Linked DNA regions of Macaca mulatta. The protein of the gene in region 2 interacts with the protein of the main gene of each other region in a biochemical or structural test. Links are inferred from orthologs where the notes say so. Each region holds a gene or a part of one and is shown on either strand. Other genes may lie near its edges.

Evidence for each region.
Region 1: the proteins of GTF2E1 (region 2) and GTF2F2 form a complex in vitro, tested with the Homo sapiens proteins (2 studies listed by BioGRID). The link is inferred for Macaca mulatta from reciprocal best matches to the Homo sapiens genes GTF2E1 and GTF2F2.
Region 3: the proteins of GTF2E1 (region 2) and TAF6 form a complex in vitro, tested with the Homo sapiens proteins (2 studies listed by BioGRID). The link is inferred for Macaca mulatta from reciprocal best matches to the Homo sapiens genes GTF2E1 and TAF6.

The regions. Positions count from the first base shown.
Region 1 is NC_133422.1:24,430,608-24,434,997, forward strand, and holds the start of GTF2F2 (general transcription factor IIF subunit 2), read left to right. Parts: upstream 1-1,448; 5' UTR 1,449-1,595; coding exon 1,596-1,661; intron 1,662-4,390. UniProt on the Homo sapiens protein: TFIIF is a general transcription initiation factor that binds to RNA polymerase II and helps to recruit it to the initiation complex in collaboration with TFIIB.
Region 2 is NC_133407.1:162,993,933-162,998,037, reverse strand, and holds the start of GTF2E1 (general transcription factor IIE subunit 1), read left to right. Parts: upstream 1-1,230; 5' UTR 1,231-1,277; intron 1,278-4,105. Other genes in the region: RABL3 (rab-like protein 3), read right to left, coding at 952-997.
Region 3 is NC_133408.1:47,425,334-47,429,588, reverse strand, and holds the start of TAF6 (transcription initiation factor TFIID subunit 6), read left to right. Parts: upstream 1-1,313; coding exon 1,314-1,548; exon of another isoform or gene 1,549-1,582; intron 1,583-1,883; exon of another isoform or gene 1,884-2,363; intron 2,364-2,593; exon of another isoform or gene 2,594-2,728; intron 2,729-2,755; exon of another isoform or gene 2,756-2,770; coding exon of another isoform or gene 2,771-2,844; intron 2,845-4,074; exon of another isoform or gene 4,075-4,219; intron 4,220-4,255. Other genes in the region: CNPY4 (protein canopy homolog 4 precursor), read right to left, coding at 1,379-1,493. UniProt on the Homo sapiens protein: The TFIID basal transcription factor complex plays a major role in the initiation of RNA polymerase II (Pol II)-dependent transcription.

The DNA.
Region 1 (4,390 bases), on a different chromosome or scaffold from region 2:
GGCCTTGCTCTGTCACCCAGGCTGGAGTGCAAGGCACGATCATGACTCACTGTAGCCTTGAACTCCTGGGCAGACACAATCCTCCCACCTCAGCCTCCCAAAGGTGGGGTTACAGGGTCCAGCCACTGAAACTTTCATTTTCGACACACTCCAGGTCTCTTCCCATCTTTCCTGTTAATTTTGCTAGCTAATCGCAGAGTTCTGACAGCTTTTCCTGGCCCTGTGCTGAACACACATAAAATTTCCTCAATTTTGTGCAAGGCTCTGATGTGTGATTCAATACATTACTTGCCCTTCTTAACAATACCTTACTGTTTGTTTCTCTTCAGCGAATGTTCTTTCACCCAAAGCCTGCTGAAACCTGACAATGTGTCAAACACTGTGCTATACATTGTGGATATAACATGAATAAAGCACCATTTTTTATTTGTAAATTATACCTCAATAAAGCTCTTTCTGCCTAGGAGGAGTTCGTTGTCTGGAAAGCAAAGGCAGATATGTAAACATATGTATTATAGTGCAGAGTGCTAAGTATCACACTGTGATGTGAAGAAAAACTAATTTCTTCTGGGGAAGTTGATAAAAGATCTCATAAGAAGTGACATTTCCATTGGTCTTGAACCATAAGTAGGAGTTTGCCAACCAGAGGAAAGAGTGGGAGTGAGGGCAGGGGTAAAAGAGGGCTTCCAAGGAAGGGAATCCAGTGTGCAGAGGCTCTGAAATGACCGAGGAAGATTCTGACGTGTTCCGGGAAGTCTGCTGGGTTTGGTGCGGTTCGGTGCATGGTGGAGTAATGGTGGGAGGGGAAAACGGATGAAATTAAGAGGGCCCAGTTGAAGCAGGAGGATTGAATTTTATTCTAGAGGCAAGAAGAGAAAGAGAAAACTTTAAGCAGGGGAGGAAACGATCAGTTTTGTCTCTTACTTGTTCGTTTCGTCACAGACCTTCGGGTTTTGGAATATGAGGTGCTCTGCTTGCTTAATCAGAGGAGCTCGGGCAGCCTCTGAGCTGAAACACGGCTTTCTTTTCAGGTCTAGAAACGGCATGTTTTCAATATACCCAGGGCTACCAAGTCTGATCCCAGTGCCCACTTGTGCTAATGACGTTGGCCAGGGGGGATGCCAATTTACTAACCTAAGCCTGTCCTTCAAATATTCTTTCTCTCTCTTTGGCTAGGGTTGGACACGTTCTGACAACTTTTGTCTCTTTGAACCCCGTTTTTCCGTTCTGATAATCTTTTTCTTCAGTTATGCTGGCCATGTCTTTAAATACGTTGCTAACGTTTTGGCTCATCTTACCCTATGTTTTAATCCCTCAGATACACACTACGCTGACAGCCACGCCCACCCAAGGAATTTCCGAAACAGAAAGTTTGTCTGCAACAGCGCGCCGTACGAACGTACAGTGCGCAGGCGCAGTCTGGCTACCGGCGGCGTGTTCCTCTTTCCCCCCGGTTTCCAGTGTCCTGGCAGGTAAGGAACGCCGCCTCTTCACCTCTCAGCGCGGCTTGCCCTTTGTTCCGGACGCCCACTTCTCAGCCCTCCGGCTCCTGGTGTCGCTGCTGTAGGCCACACGCGTCCACCGGCAACAGACCCATGGCCGAGCGCGGGGAACTCGACCTGACCGGCGCCAAACAGAACACAGGAGTGTGGCTAGTCAAGGTAATGTTCACGAGTCTCCCACTTGCGCTCCTCCTAACACAAGTATAATTTAAGTAACTTGAGCCCATCCCGCTCCGTGCACCTCTTAAAGTTCTTTTACGGCTATCTCGTTAGAGCTTCACATATTTTGAGAGGCAGGAGTCATTGTTGTATCTGTTTGCAGATGAGGAGATTAGTTTAGGGACGCAAAGTGTCTTTCAGCCGGTTACTGGTCTGAATCAGCCTGGACTAGATCTCTTTCTCACGGCTTTCCTGGAGCCCTGTCTTGGTGTTCCTAGACTTGGGCGGTGCATTTTATCCCAGACCGAAGAATTACTTGTATCTTTCCCTTGGTGAAACTGGTTTTAGCCATGAGCCTGTGTGAGGTAGTTGAATGTCTGCTTTCTGTACAGTTTTTTCGGCGAGAAACTAGAACTGGTCCCTGCGTACTCTTATTCTCTTAGGTAAATGGTCCTTAATGAAGCTCTCAAAAGAGGCGAGAGAGCCCTGAACAAACAGAAGGAGAGGTCAGGAGAGGTCATTGGACTGGAGTATTCTTTCAGAGCACATTTGGGTCTGATGAAACTGGCCGTCAATAAATGTTTTATGTAAAGACAGCAATTTTGGTTGGCTCACAGCGGGCACTATTTGTGCTTTACTGTTTCATGTTGGGAAGTGTTTTCTCCTAGGGGAGTTTCATAATACTTAAGCAAATTCAAAATGTGATCCTGAAAGTCGTTGAGACTTAAAATGTAAGGACTTTCGGTTTCTTAATGCTTTAACTGATTTATCATATGGCTGAGTTCTCGTCAATTAAATCTAAGAGGTCTTTCTTGTCGGCCTTCTTAAAAATGGCTCCCTTATGATCATTTGCTAACACGACAGATCCGTATTACATTCTTTCTTTTCTTTTTTTCTTTTTTTTTTTTTTTGAATCAGAGTCTTGCTCTGTCGCCCAATCTGGAGTGCAGTAGTGCGATCTTGGCTCACTGCAAGCTCCGCCTCCCAGGTTCACGCCATTCTCCTCTCTCAGCCTCCCGAATAACTGGGACTACAGGCACTCGCCCCCACGCCCGGCTAATTTTTTGTATTTTTAGTAGAGACAGGGTTTCACCGTGTTAGCCAGGATGGTCTCGATCTCCTGACCTCGTGATCCGCCCGCCTTGGCCTCCCAAAGTGCTGGGATTACAGGCGTGAGCCACCGCACCTGGCCGTTACATTCTTCAAAGCACTTTTCACAGTGTAGAGTGATTTTGTGTTAATATGTTCAAAGTTGGTTACCTCCGTCTTTCCAACACACAAAATCACATTCCATGAGATTGGATCTTTGCCTGTCATACCCAGAATAGTGTTTGGCACATGGTAATTACTCAACAAAAAGGTGATGAATAAATGCATGACCTCTCATTCTTTAACCCTCGCCTTAATCTGTGGCACTGATTTGACTTATTTCCAAGCTCAGTGTGACTTAAAAGGATGAATTAAATAGGCATTTCTCTCTCCAGCAGCGTGTTAATTGGAGGAGAGTCACTAAGGAGGAGATGGCCCTTGCAGACTGAAGGAAAAAGCTTGAAAAAATGGTGTGACTTGAGATGGTGCCATTGTTCTAGGAGCATGGTAAATGCTCAGTGTTTACGCCTTACAGGATTTGGGTGGGTGGACATAGCATATACCATGGGGAATGGAACAGAAATGCAAGACTCAAAATACATAATCAGCATGGTGTGTCGTGGAAAACAGAGAGAACCTAGAGCAGAAGATCTGTGTAGATAAAGGTTGGGACCATATACTCAGATTGTCATATCATGAAACGGAGATGTTCTAACTTTAGTTTACAAGGAAGTAACAAACTTTTTGGAGGATTTGAGTGAGGGAGAGATGCCAAATATTTATTCAGAAAAAAAAAAGTTTGGCAGTGTGCAGTACGAATTAGAGGGGAGGGTAAGTAACCAGAGTCACATTTAGAAAATCATCACAGGATTGGGCCGGGCACGGTGGCTCACACCTGTAATCCCAACACTTTGAGAGGCCGAGACAGGTGGATCATGAGGTCAATAGTTTGAGACTAGCCTGGCCAGTATGGTGAAATCCCATCTCTACTAAAAATACCAAAATTAGCCGGTTATGGTGGCATGCGCCTGTATTCCCAGCTACTCAGGAGACTAAGGCAGAAGAATTGCTTGAAACTGGGAGGCGGAGGTTGCAGTGAGCTGAGATTGCTCCGTTGCACTCCAGCCTGGGCAACAGAACAAAAACTCCATCTCAGAAAAAAAAAAAAAAAGAAGTAGTAACTTGTTGCTTAGAAAGTGTGTCTTCATTCTCATCTCATCAGAATTTTATTTGAACTACGTATTGATTTCAAGTTTTTTCTCCTTACATTAATATTTTCTGTTAAAAATAATACCTTGAGTTCTGATCTTTGTTGCTGAAAAATGTTTCTTCCTAGGATATATCAAGGTCATCTTGTACATATTTAATTCCATCACCAGTTACAGAACTGTGTAAATGCAGTAAGGACTGTACATACAAGATCTCTTAGAGTTTTGAGCAGGAAAAAAATTAATGCTTCACCAGAACTGGAAAGACATCATAGAGAAGGTGATGTTTAAGAAGAGCCTGTTTGGAGGTTGCAGTGAGTCGAGATTGTGCCACTGCGCTCCTGCCTGGGCAACTAGAGTGACACCCTGTCTCAAAAAATAAATAAATAAATAAATAAATTGGATGTGAGTGTGATCTGGCTGGGACATCTG
Region 2 (4,105 bases):
AGCACATCTATAAAATGCAAGTTCAGCATTTATTGAAGTTACTAAGGAGAGATGAACTGGGGATTATGGAAGAAAAGATAAGGGCAGTGAGGTGGGAGCTGGAAATCCAGAAGTCAGCTGTAGTTCTCAAATGTCCCAGGGGTCAAAATAATTTTTCTTTGCATCCATTGAGATAAAAAAAAATAATAATTTTAACACTAGGATTAAATTCGGCTCAGCGTTAAATCCTAGCTGCTTCAGAATAAAACTCTTACTTTAATTTCTCTATCGTACAGTCTAGGACATAATAGGTTTTCAATGAAGATCAAACGAGAACCAGGAAGTCAAGAAGCTCAGTTAAGAATAAAACAGGACCACCACCCAATACGTCACTGCGTATTTATAACTTAGCGTTTAAGTTTGTGGACTCTGCGTTCAAAAGGATTCTGCCACTCACATCTCTCTGCCTCACTACTCTCATCCGTAAAATGTGATCATAGGACTAATCTCAGAATTAAATGAGTTAATGTATGAGAAGCGCTTGCCAGTTCACGTTTGTCAGTGCACGTTTGACTTCCTTAATGAACAAAATCTCTTGAAGGCACGGTCCTACTAACTTCTGTACCCTTAACACAGAACTCCATACAATACTCAATGCCTGCCTTTTTTTTTTTTTTTTTTTCCAAATAAAATAACTGACAATACACTCCAGGCTGCAGTCTTCTGGGAGACTGATGTGGAAAGCCGCGAAGGAAAAAGACCCGGGCTCCGCGACCCCCACCCGCGCGACGCCGCCGCCGCCGCCGCGTCGTCACACGGAGCAAAGTCCCCTGGGAAGTGTAGTCTTCAGGACTTCGGAGGGACTTCAGCCACGGGCCGAAGAGCCAGGGAGTTGAGGGAAGGAAGGTAAGGGGAGGGTTACTGGGTAACTCAAAAGTGTCTGTAGCCCCAGAGGTGGGGTAAGACGCTCACCTGAGTCTCCCAACACCAGTACCTTCACCCGATCCAGGGACGCCATCTTGCCACTGCCTTCCTTGGGTTAACGCCTGTTCCGGGATTGTAAGCCAATCAGAGTTGGGCATGGAGGGCAGAGCTTTCAATTTCATTGGCCGCTCGGAGCGTGACTGTCTGAATCGAAGGCTTCACTGAGCTGATTGGCTGGTCTGGTAGCGGGGTGTTTCCCCAGATGGTCGCAGGAATAGTGCGTTTTCTTTGTCGCGTAAGAGGCGTGGCTCATTTAAGCCGGTAGTTGAAGAGCTGAGGGCAGCTGTAGTGGGAGTGTTCCAGGATTCGCTTTGGTAAACCTTGTTCCCTGTTCCTTGTTCGGAGTTCCCTGGCCGGGCATTGCATTTCATGATTTCTTCTTCCTTTCGCTCCCTCTTAACTGTCCTCCCCTATTGAATTACCCTCTTGCCTTGGTCCTCTTGGTTCTCCAAAGAACCATTGACCCCGGAACGGCCCGTGTGGGACCTCGGGTAGGGCGGGCTTGGGTGCGCCGAGTGTGGCCCTAGACCCAACTGGGAGAGTCCGAGGGAGTTTGGGGTCTCGGGGTCTCGCAGTGGGGAGGAGTGCATATCACCGAACGCGTCTCGTGAAGGGCAGCTGGGTCCGGAGGTTTCGCGGTAGTTTGCCGCTATGTGTTCAGTGAAGGCGTGGAAAGTGCCATGAAATGTGGTACCAGAACACCGCAGTTAGATGTGTAGAATCCCAGGTTGTTCTAGAACTGGCGTAGTGGTGTACTGAAGTAATCTAACTGGACTCTTCGCATCCAGCTTTTTTCTCCATTCTGCAGTCAGCGCACACTTTTAACATCGTGAATTTGATCCACTCACCTCCAGCTTAAAACTGTTTTAAATTTAAGAAGAGAGTGCCCAATAGCCTGTCCAATTCTACCGTGGAAGCAAGAGTGGAGGAAGTGAAGCGGGGGGAAGCTGGCAAAATGAGCCATGTTGGAACAACACGTGTCTAGGACACATAAGGAAAGTTTTATGGAAGTACTTGTCTGGCTGTGCTAGATACTGGAAATTAATTGGTGAACAAAATGAAGTCTGGTCTTAGAGATAGACATGGAGAAAGTACAAGAAGGGAGAAAGAGCCATGGAACATGTGAGAGGGGATGATTGTACGCTACCTAATGGGGAGTCTGGGAAGGCCTCTATGAGGAAACGTCATTTGAGACTTGAAGGATGATTAGGAGAAGGGGGTTGGCTTAGTTGTAGGGGCAGAAGGAACAGCTTGTGCAAAGCTGTGGTAAGCACGGAAAGCACATGTGGCTTATGGAATTGAGAATATGCTAGTGTGGCTGGATATGAGGCTGACAGAGTAGACAGAGGGCAGAGGGTGCATTCTTTTCAACTTTGTTTCTCTAGCTCCGTGTCTGGTGCACAATAGTCCTTAAATGTTTATATGATTAAAATACACGTGTCTGGACTGGGGTAGGGAGGTGAGGCTGGGATATGACTCATGGACTATGAAGATCAAAGGAAGAAACAAAAGGTCCTAGGAGGTACCACACTCAGAAGTCTCCAGAGACCAGCCATACTCCTTCCCTAATAATGCCAGCTGCTATTCGTCTTCAGCTTATTGTTTCCATGTGGGACCATGGGCTCACTTTTTCCTCAGATATTTCCAATTTTTCAGGAGGAGCTGGAAGTTGAAATTTATGTGAACTCTTACAATTTTTAAATGTTGACAACTAATTCAGAAAATTTTTGAAACATTTCTTTGGGTGAAACAATGCGTTGGGGGGCTGCCAGTTTGAGAATTCTTACCTAAGACCTCTAGAGATTGAGTAAGGAGATTCAGTGTGAGTGGGAAGTGGTGGAGGAGAGAAGTTAGTGGTCAGGAAGGAGGATTTTAGAATGCACAGATTTTGAACAAGGTGGCACAGCTTCATTTCATTCCTAAGCTCTAGTTTCATTTGTTCAGCTACCTGCTGGGCATATTCAGAGGAATATCCTATGGTATTTCCTCAGAGACACTTCTAAAAATGATTTCCTCATTTCTTCCATATCTGCTCCTCTTCAAGTGTCACCTATTTCTCATGGCAGTACTTTTCCTAGCTACACTGGCTCAAAACAGAGCTATTTAAGATTTTTCCTACTCTCATATTCTGTATCCAATATATTTTGTTGGGTCCTTGTTATTTTTTTTTCTGTAATAACTTTCATTCATTCTGTTCTCTTCTTGCAATTTTTTGCCTTCTTCCGTAGTTTGATTTTATACACCCAATACTTCCACATTGCCTCCACCTTCACCCATTTGAGTCCATTCTTCATATTGGTATAAGAGTCGTTTTTCTAAATAGGGGATTTATTATGAATGCCAGTACTGAATTGAACTCTTATGCCAGCCCTGAAAGCAGAACACTTTGCATTAATTATCTCACTGAGTTCATACATTAACTGTGTGAGCAGGGGACCGTTAATCACTTTTTTTTTTTTTTTGAGGGTCATGTCCTGTCACCTAGGCTAGAGTGCAGTGGCTCAATCATGGCTCATTGCAGCCTTGACCTCCTGGCTCAGTTGATCCACCTCAGCTGGTACTACAGGTGCACGGCACCATACCTGGCTAAGTTTTAAAATTTTTATAGAGGTGGGGTCTTACTGTGTTTCCTAGGCTGGTCTTCAACTTCTGGACTCTAGCAGTCCCCCCATCTCGGCCTCCCAAGGTGTTACAATTACAGGTATTAGCCACTGCACCTGGCCTAATCACTTTTTATATATAAAGAAACTGAGTCTGAGAATTTTCTGGGGTCAGGGGGGCTAAGAAATACTGGAACTGGGATTTAAACCCCAAAACTGTTGGATTGTAAAGTCTTCACATCACTCCCTGACTTTAGTCTTCACAGCTCCCTAGGGTGTTTTAGGCAAAGGAAACAGGCTGAGCGATTAGTGGCACAGGGACCTCTCCATGCAGGATGAGCATTGGCAGGATATATAGTAGGTACTTTTGCTGTATAGTAGAGCCACCTAAAGAGCTTTAAAAATTTGTGTGATGCCAAATCTGGCCGCCCCGAACCACCTGAGACAAAACCTTTAGGAATGGGGCCCATGGTCAGTATTCTTAAAACGTTCCCTAGATGATTCTGCTTTAAAACCAGGCTTGAGAACTATTAGTCTGGGAC
Region 3 (4,255 bases), on a different chromosome or scaffold from region 2:
CGCTTAAACCCAGGACGCGGAGGTTGCAGTGAGCTGAGATTGCACCACTGCACTCCAGCCTGGGCAACAGCATGAGACTCTGTCTCAAAAGAAAAAAAAAAAAAAAAAAAATATATATATATATATGTGTGTGTGTGTGTGTGTGTGTGTGTGTGTGTATAATAAATACAATGGGATAATAGTATGTCCCTCATAGGAGTGTGATGAGGATTAAATCAACATATATAAAGGCTGGCACATAGTGAGTACTGTATAAGTATTCACTGTTATCCTGCAGTTATTTATTGAGCTCCTTCTGTATGCATACTAACAATATAACAGCAATAAAACCTATTATCTCTATCTACAGGTCTCTGTCAGTGTAGTTGGGACAGATAAACCAAGGATGACAAGATATGGTGAAGCTGGGCCTGAACTCATGGGCTCAAGTGATCCTCCCACCTTGGCCTTCCCAAGTGCTGGGTTTACAGATGTGAGCCACTGTGCCCAGGCCTGTTGGCTGTATTCCGATAGAAGGCCTGCAGAGGTGTTAAAGCAAGGACTGATACAATTAGGTGATTAAGTCTGTTTAAAAAGATTGACAAGTCAGGGGAGAAGAGCGGGACACGGAGGTGAAAGGAGACAGAGATGAGGACTAAGTCATGAGACTATCATGACTGCCTTTCATGATACTGAAATACAGTTTTGTGGGGGTGAAGAGAAGAGAAAAAGAATCCAGGGAAGAAACGTAAAGTCAGGAGGGCAGCAAACTAGGGCATCAGGGCCAGTCCCCTTTCTCAAATGGGCCCCACACTAGTGCAGCTGTGGAAGGTGCTGCTTGCTGAAAAATCCATATAGTACGCACCGTCTGCAAAGTCTCACCGGATGGGGAACCTCTCCTACTTGTACGGCCTCCTTTTGTTTATGAGCTTCAAAGGCTGAGTTACTCACCCTCAAACCCCCTCAGGGGGGCGTGGGGCCTGTAATTTGGGAGCGTCTATGCTAGGGTAGGGCAGCGGATGTCCACAAGGCCTGAGCCTCACACCCGGCTCCTGCAGTCTCTGCAGATTAAGGTCTGGTGACATGAGGCAAACACGCACTGAAGATGCTCTAAAAGTTGGCAGTCCAGGGCCGATGGTCCCTGAACTACAATTCCCACAATCCATTGGCGGGGGTGTCCAAGCCAGCCAAAAAAATGCAGGCTCTCTCTGGATGCAGCTTTGAGGTGGCACTACACGTTCGCTTCCTTGACCCCATCCAAATTCAGCCAAGCTCCACCAGAACCTCCCTCAAGCCTTCAAGGAGGTCGGGTGACCCACCCAATACAGTCCAGGATGTCCGGCCTAGAAGAAGGAGGTGTGGCCGGGCGATGCCCACAGGGGCTACCCCCTTCAAATACCTTCGCATTTGCTGGGCAAGCGTTCTGCGTCATCGTCGTCCTCTTTCGGCATCCCAGCCCAAGCCCCGTGCACGGCCAAAAGGAAAACCAATATTCCCAGTCGCACAGGTCCCATGACAAAGCGCCGTCCACAAACAACCACCGCTTGCCTTCAAACCAACTTCGGAGAGGCAGTGTGGGTCCTTTAAATTCCCAGCGGCTGGCGGCAACCTTAAATCCAGCCTGGCAAGATCGGCGCATGCGCAAGATCAGCCCAACAGGGGTGCGGCCTCGTTGCTCCGGGTTTCCCTGCCTCCGTTTTGTGGCGCCTCTTGAAGGTCCTGGCAGCCGGGTAGTGAAGGAATAAATTACACTAATTACATCAAGAGGGAGTGGTCCTTATATGTAGATGTAGAAACAAATTTTTAAAATATAATTTCATTCTGTAAGCCTAGAGGACTTATTCTGGCACGGGGAAGGGGCAGTGACTTGCTCTTCGGTTCTGCCAGGACCTGCTTCCAGGAGGGGGCGGGGCCAAGATGGCGCCGAGCGCCGGTTGAGCGGCGTCCCGGCTGCGGCTAGAGTTTTCTTGCTGCCCGTGCTCGGCTGGCCGGGGCGGGTCTGAGTGGTACCCGGGAGGAGACCCTTTGAAAGTCCCTTGTGGGGACTGGAAAGAGGACGGTTGGTTGTGTGTCTGTGCTCGTGGGGACCCCGTGTGTGTGCCTGCATAGGAGAGATGTTGCAGGAGATGGGGTGGACTCTCTGAGCCTCATTTCGCGCTGCCCGGGGATCTTCGACCTGCTTCTCTGCTGGGATCTCGCTCAAGTTAACCCTCCCCTGGGACGCCTTCCTGCCGCCTCCACTTGATCTGAGGAGATCCTGTGACTGTAGCGTGTTTTATGAGCCTTTACTGGCAGAGGGTACCGCCGGGTATTGAAGGATTCGTAGGAGTTCGCCAGGGAAGTGGGACACGACCGCCTCTTGTAAACCCGGCGCCAGGCACAGAGTATGTCTCCAATAATTGTGTTTCCTATAGATAAGACTTATAAAAGTGGGGAAGGAGATTAGGGATGGTTTGAAAAGAACTAATTTCTTTTTCGGCCTCCCTCTTCCCATCCTTCCAGCACGGCCCCACCCTACTTGTACTACTCCTGAACAGTATTGATGTTAATCTTCCTAATGTCCAGCTCCAAGTGTGCCACTTATTTTATTTTATTTTATTTTATTTTGAGGCAGGATTTCCGTCTGTTGCGCAGGCTGTTGTGCAGTGGCACCATCTTGGCTCACTGCAGCCTCCAACTCCTCAGTAGTTCAAGCGATCCTCCCGCCTCAGCCGCCTAAGTAGCTGGGATGACCGGTTCACCCCACCACGCCCGTCTAATTTTTTAATTTTTGCAGAAATGGGGGTCTCACATGTTGACCAGTCTGTCTCAAACTTCTGGCCTCAAACGATCCTCCCACCTCTGCCTCCCAAAGTGCTGGGGTGAGCTACCTCTCTTGGCTCCAATTTGCTTTTTTTTTTTTTTTTTTTTTTTGAGACGGAGTCTCCCTCTATCGCCCAGGCTGGAGTGCAGTGGCACGATCTCGGTTCACTGCAACCTCCACCTCCTGGGTTCAAGCGATTCTCCCACCTCAGCCTCTCAAGTAGCTGGAGTAGCTGGGACTACAGGCGCCCGCCACCATGTCTGGTTAATTTTTGTGTTTTTACAAAAAGACAAGGTTTCACCATGTTGGCCAGGGTGGTCTCGAACTCCTGACCCCAGGTGATCTTCCCACCTTGGTCTCCCAAATTACAGGCGTGAGCCACTGCACCTGGCTCCACTTTGCTTTTAACTACAGTGTAGGCTCAAAGCTTGGGCCTATGACCTATTAATAACAGTGATACCAAGTATTTACTGAGCACCAACATCTCTAAGCCTTACAACTAATTCATTTACTTCACAAATATTTATGATGTCCCAGGGCTCCTGGAATACATCAGTGAACATAATAAAGAGCTCTGTTGGCCAGGCACAGTGACTCACGCCTGTAATCCCAGCACTTTGGGAGGCCAAGGTGGGCGGATCACCTGAGGTCAGGAGTTCAAGAGTGGACAACAAGAGTGAAATTCTATTTCCAAAAAAAAAGAGAAGAGCCCTGTTTACATGGTGGACAGAGACGGAGTCTCACTCTGTTGCCAGGCTGGAGTGCAGTGGTGCAACCTCTGCTCACTGCAACCTCCGCCTCCCGGGTTCAAGCGATTCTCCTGCCTCAGCCTCCCGAGTGTCTGGGACTACAGGCGCATGCCACCATGCCCGGCTAATTTTTGTATTTTCAGTAGAGACAGGGTTTAACCATGTTGGCCAGGATGGTCTTGATCTCTTGATCTCATGATCTGCCGGCCTCGGCCTCCCAAAGTGTTGGGATTACAGGCGTGAGCCGCCGCGCCAGGCTCAGAAGATGTTAAATGCTACGGAAAAGAAGAAGTGGGCTGCCCCCACTCTGAGGGCAGACTGCAGAGTTAAATAGGGTGGTCAGGGTAGGCAGCCAATTAGACATTTGGGAGAACATTCCAGGCAGAGGGAATGGAGCAAAAGCTATTAAGTGCATGCCTGGCAAGTTTAAGGAGCAGCCAGAAGACATATGTGTCTGGATCAAAGTGGAAGAAGGAAGGAAGAGTGATCAGAGATATAATGGGGAGAAGGCAAATTTTGAAGGGCTTTGTGGGACATTATAAGGATTTTGTCTTTTTTTTTTGAGAAGGAGTCTTGCTTTGTCACCCAGGCTGAAGTGCAGTGACACATATCTTTGCTCACTTCAACCTCCGCCTCCTGGGTTCGAGTGACTCTCCTGCCTCAGCCTCCTGACTAGCTGCAATTACAGGTGCCCGCCCATCTAATTTGTGTATTTTTAGTAGAG